Linked DNA regions of Kluyveromyces lactis. The protein of the gene in region 1 purifies or fractionates together with the protein of each later gene. This does not show direct contact. Links are inferred from orthologs where the notes say so. Each region holds a gene or a part of one and is shown on either strand. Other genes may lie near its edges.

Region 1 (3,141 bases):
AGTATTACCCTCCACTTCCTAACCAAGCAGGTCCGCAACAAGGATACTACCACCCTCCGCCACTACCAGTACAGCAACAACAACCACAACAACCACAACCTCCGTATTCGGCTGGTCCGTCTGCATCAGATTTCTTATTACAATCAAACCCTGAATTCTCCATCGGAACTGGTCCAGCATCATACGGAAATAGCCAAAGGAGTGCAGGGCTAAACTCCGCACCAGCATCTTCAATGCACTATAAACCTGCTTATAGGAAAAGGCTCCCAAGAAAAAATAACCTACCTCTGCATCCATGTCAAGAGACAGTCCCTATGGAGCATTTTAAGTTCTGATTGTAATATTCATACTGAAACCACTCACTTTTTAAACAAATTTATTCTATTTACTGTAACAGATAATATATAGACCTCCTCTCTAGTTAACTTTTTTGAACCTTTCTACTGTTACCAATTCGACAGTGGTCGTTTACTTCTATCACGATATCAAAATTTGTTTTCGAAGTTCGATGCAGTTTCTCCATCATAAGCAAGTTCATTAATATTTGACCATTTTTATTCTACATTACTTTCTGGATCCAGCAACGGGTCTCCATTAGGAGAATTGACCTCCACTTGTGATCCAGGAGGTTTGTGAGATTTTGAAGGAGCTGATTCTCGTATAGTATGGTGATGAGGTTTCAGCATGACAAGGAGGAATAACGCTAGAACGACCAAAGATAGAAATAGAATAATTTTACATTTTTGACTCCGTTTTTGGTAGTGCGTTGCCTTGTCTAACTCCTTTTGGGCCTGCTTTAATTCAATAACCGTGTTTTCTAAGTTATAATCGATCCTATCGACCACTGTACCTTGATCTATGATCAAAGACTGCATTTCCCTGAAAATAGTACTAACTTCGAGTACACCTTTCGCTAACTGTGTAATTTCCTCATCTCTTTGTTGCAAAAATTGCTGATTGTTATCCTGTAACTTCTGATTCTGTTTTTGTAAAGTCTGCTTTGAATATGAGTCGATGTTATTGACTTCATCTCCTTCAACTTCTTCCTCCAACAACATCAATGTATCGTTACTTGATTTCGTAGTGGGTAGTGGTTTGAAATCATCTTTATTCAAAAACTTCAAATGATTATTCTGTAATATTCTGAACTTCTGCGATTTGTCTTGCACTTTCAAAGCGTAGTTCTTTTCTAGGTTATCCAATATCCTTAACTCGTCCTTGCTTAGCTGCTTACCATTCGAATATTGAGAATCCTTAATTCTCGTAAGAGTCTTGATAACACCAAAACATTCTTGGAATCTCTTAATTACCTGGAAACTTATCTGCTCAATCTCCTCCTCATCCTGCTTATTGTCCTGGAATCCTGGTAAAGAGTTCTTTTGATATAGTTTCGTCAACTGTAGCAACAATTGATCTACTGCAGATAACGACTCATCCACTTGGAACGTTAAATCGAAAAATTTTGGCGGTAATTGACGGGAGAAATCATCCATAGCAACCATATCTTCATCATTGTTACCATCGTCACTACCAATGAATGGCTGGTTCTCCAAATCTTTATTCGATCGTAGATGCTTGGTACTCGAAAGCCTCTGATGGGGGAAAGTTCTCCTATAGGATAAAAACAAATTAGTTCTATCACGAAACATGGTGCAGTTCAAAAGCAAACAAGGGAAGAAAGCACGCACTACCACTAATCTGATCTAAATAATCACTAGATCGAGCCACTCGACCAGTTGTTCTGCAGTTATTTACATACACTTGTAATTTGACACCTTAAAGTGTTGTTGAACTTTCGGTTCTCAGCTTAAAACCTTTAAAAAATGGAAAATTTGGCAAGCACAACGATAAGATGAGATGCGATGAGATGCATTGAAATAGAGGCTGCAACGGTAGGTCCAAGTGAAGTGTAACCGGGAGTTACTGTTGTTAAGAAAGGGAATCATCACATCAACAATGTCGTTCAACAGAGATGATGACTCGAAGTTGAAGTTTAAGACTTCAAAGAAGCTCAAGGTATCTGCCACTTTTGAGTCGATGAACTTGAAACCGGATTTGTTACGAGGCATATATTTTTACGGCTTTGAATATCCATCATCCATTCAGTCTAGAGCCATTTCTCAGATTATCTCAGGAAAAGATGTGATTGCCCAGGCACAGTCTGGTACCGGTAAGACGGCCACATTTACCATTGGATTATTACAAGCAATTGATTCTAAGAGCAAAGAGTTACAAGCATTGGTCTTATCACCAACAAGAGAACTAGCGAGTCAAAGTGAATCTGTGATATCTAACCTAGGAGACTATTTGAACGTTACAGCACATGCGTGCACAGGAGGTAAGGCCTTACAACAAGATATCAAGAAAGTATCGAAAAATTGTCAAGTGGTCAGTGGTACACCGGGCCGTGTACTAGATATGATCAAGAGACAAGTATTGAACGTTAGAAACTGTAAGATCTTAGTTCTCGATGAAGCAGATGAACTACTCGGAGAAACTTTGGGGTTTAAACAACAAATCTACGACATTTTCACCAAGTTACCACCGACGATTCAAGTCGTGGTGGTAAGTGCTACAATGAGTAAAGATATATTAGAGATCACCAAGAAGTTCATGAGTGACCCGGTGAAGATATTGGTTAAGCGGGATGAGATATCCTTGGACGTGATAAAGCAATATTATGTGGATGTAGAAAAGGAAGAATGGAAGTTTGATACACTCTGTGATCTATACGATTCGTTAACGATAACACAATGTGTGATATTCTGTAATACAAGGAAAAAAGTGGATTGGTTATCCAGGAAGTTGACACAGACGAATTTCTCTGTGTCCTCAATGCACGGTGACATGAAACAGGAAGAACGTGATCAAGTGATGAATGATTTCAGGAGTGGAAAAGCCAGGGTGCTAATATCGACAGACGTGTGGGCTCGTGGTATCGATGTCCAGCAGATCTCATTGGTGATAAACTACGATATACCAGATAATCTAGAGAACTATATCCATCGTATTGGTAGATCCGGACGGTTTGGACGTAAAGGTGTTGCAATAAATTTCATCACGAAGGAGGAAAGACCCAAATTGAAAGAGATCGAATCGCACTATAGAATTAAGATCAAACCAACTCCTGCAAATTTAGAA
Region 2 (3,766 bases), on another chromosome or scaffold:
CAACTGAGATATCACCTATTCTATCATGCGCAGTGAACTGTTTACCCGATGGGTAGTACTTGTCTTAAACAGGAGGCGGGATATTGTTTGTTTGGAACAATTTCTCACTGGACTGTTGTAATTGTTTCCAGATGTTTTCGTACTTATCTGTCTTAGATCCCAGCGTACGTTGGAAATACCCTTGTAGTAGTAGCGTTATTTCCGCTAGACAATCAAGTGATTCGGCCATGATATTCAAGTTTTTATCTGTCTTTGTAGATAGTCTGTCTGTCAGTGATGATGATATAGATTCTATTGCCTTTGTATTGAAGAATTTCAAGACATCGGACAATTGACGTTCGCAATGTCTTGCATACTGTGATGGGAAGTTTGAGGCGAGTACCAATAAAGTTTTGATCATTTTGATGGCAAGGATTAGAGCCTCGCTTGCCACGAATGTCTTATCACCTAAGACAACGGATTTTTTGTGACCGGTAGAGGATTGCTTCTCATCCTTTGTTTCGTCTAATGGAGAAGGTTTGTTCAACTCGATGAATCGTGTCCAATTTGACGGATCAATGTCAATACACGATACAATATCATTGACATCCTTTTGCAATTCGGGCTCGACGATGAATGGTGTCCATCTCTCTACATCGATCTTTTGTTTCAAAACCCTTATGTTCAAATTTTGTAAAGATTTCAAATATGTATCGATTTGGAGGTTCAATACGTCAGAAAGATACTTCGTTAGAAATTCACCGCTTATAGATTCACACTCTCTCATGAAAAGCATGCATATCTCGTAGAACTGAAGGAAATGATCGAAACGTAATGTACATGTGATATCCCGTCTCACTGAGATTATTTTCCCCATTCGAAGCTGTACTATCCTTATACCCTCGTTAACGCTTTTCCGAATATCAAGATCAATAATCATCTTATCAGATTGCTCTGCCGTTGTCGGTAATTCACTTAGCGAAATGTCTAATAGCATTTTCTGATGCCGCGTTAACCTCTTCAATAGTTCGATTTCAGAAGTGAATATATTTACAAGCATTGATTGGAACTCTTGAGATGATTGTTCTTGAATCAACTTTGATAGCCTTGACCCATTGGCGGCAGTTGGTTTAGAGCCATCTTTCGACTCTTCAGGTGTTTGTCTCTCATGCGGTAGATTAACCTTAATAACAGATTTCAACTCTGCTATAAATTTATCCTCGTATAGCTTCACTGCCGGAACCAACTGATCACAATCGATTAATTGTATTAGATTTTCTTTGATTTGCTTTCGGAAGGTCTCATCGATCTTTAAATGAGGTTTGTTCTTATCCTTCCTAGATTGCAATTTGATGATCGTGTCATTTTTCGATTGAGACTTCGAATACGTCCTCAAATCTTCCAATAGTACGGTAACCAGACTCAATGAGTAAGATCCCCCGATGTCAACCTTCAGATTATTTAGCATGTCTATTATGCCCTGTAAACTAGAAAAACTTGAGATGTTTGTGAGTTTGTACGGCCACTGAGAGGTCCAATCATTGACAGTGGGATCATCATTGTCACCATTTATTAAGTTCTCAACTGCTTTAACCAATTTCAAACACTCTTGTAGTTTTTCTTCTTGATATATTTCTTTACATTCTTCACATTTTTCTTTCGCTAGTTTTACTTGTAGGATCCCCTGTTGTAACTTTTCCACATTTTTCCTTCTTATGAGATCTTTAATCATCTCAATTCTTTTTGAGATTTTATCCCCATTTATCCTCTCAAGGGCCTCAGCAGCAGAATCCAACTCGTTGATTGTCTCTGTCGCATTTTCTCTAATCTTATCGACGTCTTCCAAAGCGTCAAAAAAGCTTTGTATAGACTTGGAGATTTCAGAAACAAGGAGTCCCTCAACAGTATCTAAGTAGAATGCCAATCTTCCTTGAAGCTCTTCATAGCTGTCATTTCTAACTTTATCATCATCATTTAGTAGTTGATTGGCATCAAACTCAAAATCTCGTAGAAGCATTCGAAAGAAATTGGGGTGATCTAATTTGAACTCCTTATCAAAATAGAATTCAGGTATTTCTTCAAATGCCTTGGCTTTCGTATTTTGCAATCCAAGGGCAGTTTTATCATGATCAATAGATCTCATTTGCTCCATTCGGTTCAACTTTGATATATTATTTGTCGATTGATACACCCTATATTCGTCTTTAATGTCATCTCTGTATTGATTAATATCCTTGTCCCATTTATCCTTAATATCGTTCTTGCTTAGAACTACAGGGGGAATATCCTCGGTGGTTGGGTGCCGCAACCATCTTTTAAATCTGGTGTTCATCACAATTTCATATATTGAATTATCAACCAACGGTGAATAATCAAGACCGTGTTTTTGGGTATGCATCGTTGTAGAAAAAGAATTGAATGTGGAATCAAAACTACTACGCCTCATAGACATACTGTCCCTTATTTGATCCCTGTTTCTAGATAATACAGATAGATCATCGTTCAACGAGCTAGCATCATCTGAGGCATGACTGGGCACCAATAGTGGAGATCGACTTAATTGCGTCCTACTATCAGGAGTTAGAGATAGAGCTGGTGTCTCACTTCCCAGTAACCTATCCGGCATAGTTAACTCGCTGGTTTATAGTCTGTTGGAACAGCTTTTTCTTTGCTATGCATCTTAAAGGTGTATGTATCTGTTTACAATATGAACTTTAATCGATTTTCAGTTTTTACATATTCAATGATACTTCTAAAAGAAAGTGAACATGGTAGTTTGAGTATATAATTAAGCGCACTCTCTCAACATAAATAAAACACCGTAGCAAGTTAATCAATAGAAGCATTAAGCGCTGAGCGAGAGATCTACGCAGATGGATAAAACCAAGAAAAATTGTTGTTCTTCTAATTAATACTATTTACGTAGTGAAAAAAAAATATATATGCTGGTAGAGTGGTATTTTTAAGTTTAACCTCAATAAAAAAAATGAACTCCGAATATACCTAAGAGCACTTGAGCGATCACTCAGAATCAGAATCAGATCCAAATAAAAAGCTACCCGATGAAGGAGATTTTAATGGTGGTCTTCTTACCGTCGAATTGTGTTGAGATAAAGGTTCTCCAGTGATGAAGCTATGTGTCTGTTTTAAAACAGGAGATGCAGAATTGGAAGGTGTGATAAAATCATGAATGGAATTTGCTCTAGACTTCCCTATAGATGAGGTTCGCCTTAATGATAGTGGGTCTTTTGCAGTAAGCTCTAGTTCTTCACCGTTATCGTCATGCTCTTCGTCATCATGACTGAAACCAGGTTGGGAAGAATCTGCGATGAATTCGTTGTCCGGATGTTCATCGTTATCATCTTGTACCGGAAGGCTTTGATGGTATGTATATATTTTCCCTCTTGAGTCATCATCCATATATCCGTCATTCGCGTCCTGTATTGGAGTATCTAATCCAATGCCATCCGGTACATCGAGGATATCACACGAATTGTCCACAGTTACAAAGTTGGATGTATCCCCCGTGTAAACGGAATTATAATCATACATGTAGTCAAATCCTCTGCTAGTATTCACATTGTGTGATACTGCGTTACCATAATACCATTCATTTTCGTCTTCATCATAATATTCATCGTCAGATCCGTAGTTTAGAGTAGTGGCTGGAAGTGGTTTAATAGTTGCGTTTGGAAATTTGGATAGTGAGAGTGATCTTAAAGAATTTGCAACATCTGTGCCATCACTAGCCCCCGAATTGGTTCGATTTTTTCTAGTATGTGCACTG
Region 3 (2,625 bases), on another chromosome or scaffold:
ATTTCTTTTCTTACACTTGCATACTTTTTTTACGGAAAGATGCGAAAGGGTCCTCTTATCTGAACGTTTTAGAGATCATGTTACCCCTCAGTTGATGTGTTTTCATTCATCTAGTGATATTATCAATCAACTGCCTTTTGCGTAGGCTCATCTAGTAGATTTGCTGAGGAAGTATCATCATATTCATTAAAAATTGTACCAGCATTCTGAAATATTAGGTTTGTTTCTTACCGTAAGAAGATGTAAAAAATTGTGATACATTTCTTACTTAATTGTATATTTATTCAAAACGGTAAGGGAGCCGTTCGTCAGAAGCTTAAAAAACATTTTCGTTACCATTAACATCTTCAAAATTTCCAAACGTCCAAGCCAGATGGCAAGCTTATTTGCATCGATATAGTTGATAATGGGAAATGAAAGACGTTAACGTGAAACAAACCACTCGATGTGGTTGTACAAATGGGTATACACCATTTATAAAATAATTATTCCACCAAAAAAGTGACAGTTGTGTTAGAGAAAAGAATACAATTACAAGAGAATGAGTTGAATATTACCATTTTATAGTAGATCGTCATCCGCCTCGACGATTGTATTTTTCACCTTCAAGAGTATAGTTGTTTTCCAATGGTCTAACTTATTGAACCTATCATATTCGTAGATCTTTTGCGATAATTTTTCAGTATCACCTTCCCTTACAGCTTCAATTACGTTTGATAGTAACTCAAACTCCCTTGATTGAGAGAATGATGGATCCAACGATTGTGATTCGTTCAAACTTTTATCTGCAGCTACAACATCACCAGCAGCAAGGTAACATAGGCCAATCTTCAATAAGTACTCTTTGAGCGACCACTGGCTTAATTTATTCCCCAATGAATTTTCAACGACTTTCTTTAAGATCTCGGTAGCTTCCAAATAATCACCGTTCAAAGCTTTCAAATCGGCGCATTTAATGTAGGATTTATTCGAGAGAGCAATAGCTTGGTCTTGCAAATACCAATCACCAGCTGTTTCATAATTGGCAATGGCACTTGGGTAATCCTGTAATTGCTGTTCTTGTAATTCAGCCAATTCGAATTTGAAGTTGGCACCTCTTCTAAACTGACCTCTTCTTGTGAAAATATCTATCGACTTGGCTAAGGACTCAGCAGCTTGTGCTGGAGAAGATCCTGTCTTGAAACACTTGTAGGCTTCGATATACGTATTTCCTGCTTCATCTTCATTAGAAGCCTGTATTTGACACTCTGCTGCCCTCAAGAAAGTATCACCCGCTTGATCCAACTCCTTTCTTAGCCTATAGAGGTTTGCAGCCTCGATATAAAGATCTGCTGCTTCTTCGTAACGGTAAGAGTCTGAACCGCTAAGGAAACTGAAAAATCCTGATGATGGTTTAGCCTTCTTTTCGGCCTATTACAAAAATGACATGAGATATGTTTCCATACCATTAAGTGAAAAAGAGAGAATACGAATGATAAATCACTTCCTCTTTCATCACATTATGGCTAGGGTTTGCATATGTTTATTGTTAGTATTAGGGGTTCAGGCGAGAATAAGGTCAACCATTGTCATCATACTTTCCTAGACTTATTGATTTGACCTTTCAACATAAATGATGGAGAAAAAACGTACCTTAGCTATAATTTCTTTAACATCCGACATATTCAAAGAAAACCTGAGTGGGATATGGCTGAATGCTGTTAACTTTTGTCAACCAAGAGCTTGCTTACAACTTTTACTATCAAACTATCAACATTGTATCATCATTACATGTTACATATTCTAATTACCATCAGAAAGTAAAGAAATTCCTTAAGGGGAGAAACAACGGAAGGCTATCAGCAGCCGGGTAATTAATTCACGTGACTTTCAAATAGGCTGGCCTGGGAGCCGGTCCAAGGTATTTGGCTGGACGCGAGGATGAACACTCGACCATCACGCCTAAATCAGTTATATAGGGTAGATGGAATATAAAATAACACAAAGTGGAAAGATACGTTTTATTGAAGGATACTTATAACATGATTATACGATGCAACAAGCTTAAGCTTCAGCCATGTCTCTCAATCTTCTGATGGTAGATCTGACGGTAGCGGCAGCGGCGGTAGACAAAGTGTAAGCACCACCAGCGATGGTTCTGTTACAAGAAGAACAAGACCAGACACCAGCAGCACCTCTCTTAACACAAGTCTTACCACAGAAAGAACAGTTATAAGTGGCGTGTTGTTGAACTTCCAACTTCTTAACTTGTCTTCTCAAAGAGGAACCGTAACGGACACCGTACTTACCAGTGATACCAACCTTCTTAGTTCTTTTAGCCCTGAATATAAAATGAATTGTGTATTCATTACGTCCGATTCCAATAGTTCGATTCAATTTGTTCACATAATGGGTGGTAATGAATCGATACCACAGGTAGAATGGGTAATAACACAGATATAAAAGTTAGTAAAATTGTTGCAATTAAAGGAACAACAGTTTTTTTGGGGGAGGAGGTCTAATAGATCGTCATTTATTCTGCTGTCGTGCGTGTGGAGCTGACACTATAAATCATCACACTGGAATTTTGCATCTAGCTGTAGTTTCTTGTGCTTATGGTATAATTCCAGTTACCCATTTGTCACT

Evidence for each region.
Region 2: the proteins of TLG2 (region 1) and VPS54 purify together in Saccharomyces cerevisiae (affinity purification with western blotting, with the first as the bait; 3 studies listed by BioGRID). This does not show direct contact. The link is inferred for Kluyveromyces lactis from reciprocal best matches to the Saccharomyces cerevisiae genes TLG2 and VPS54.
Region 3: the proteins of TLG2 (region 1) and SEC17 purify together in Saccharomyces cerevisiae (affinity purification with western blotting; 3 studies listed by BioGRID, with this or other methods). This does not show direct contact. The link is inferred for Kluyveromyces lactis from reciprocal best matches to the Saccharomyces cerevisiae genes TLG2 and SEC17.

Annotation. Positions count from the first base shown.
Region 1 is NC_006037.1:927,071-930,211, reverse strand, and holds TLG2 (t-SNARE syntaxin TLG2), read right to left. Parts: upstream 1,650-3,141; coding exon 555-1,649; downstream 1-554. Other genes in the region: KLLA0_A10703g (uncharacterized protein), read left to right, coding at 1-335; ATP-dependent RNA helicase FAL1, read left to right, coding at 1,957-3,141. UniProt on the Saccharomyces cerevisiae protein: t-SNARE that functions in transport from the endosome to the late Golgi and on the endocytic pathway.
Region 2 is NC_006042.1:414,953-418,718, reverse strand, and holds VPS54 (Vps54p), read right to left. Parts: upstream 2,606-3,766; coding exon 65-2,605; downstream 1-64. Other genes in the region: RPI1 (protein phosphatase regulator REG1), read right to left, coding at 3,001-3,766. UniProt on the Saccharomyces cerevisiae protein: Involved in retrograde transport from early and late endosomes to late Golgi by linking the vesicle through the t-SNARE TGL1 to the Golgi, leading to the membrane fusion between late Golgi and endosomal vesicles.
Region 3 is NC_006041.1:529,633-532,257, forward strand, and holds SEC17 (alpha-soluble NSF attachment protein SEC17), read right to left. Parts: upstream 1,663-2,625; coding exon 1,633-1,662; intron 1,411-1,632; coding exon 562-1,410; downstream 1-561. Other genes in the region: RPL43B (60S ribosomal protein eL43), read right to left, coding at 2,044-2,320. UniProt on the Saccharomyces cerevisiae protein: SNARE complex protein that binds to cis-SNARE complexes on membranes and is required for vesicular transport between the endoplasmic reticulum and the Golgi apparatus and for homotypic vacuole fusion.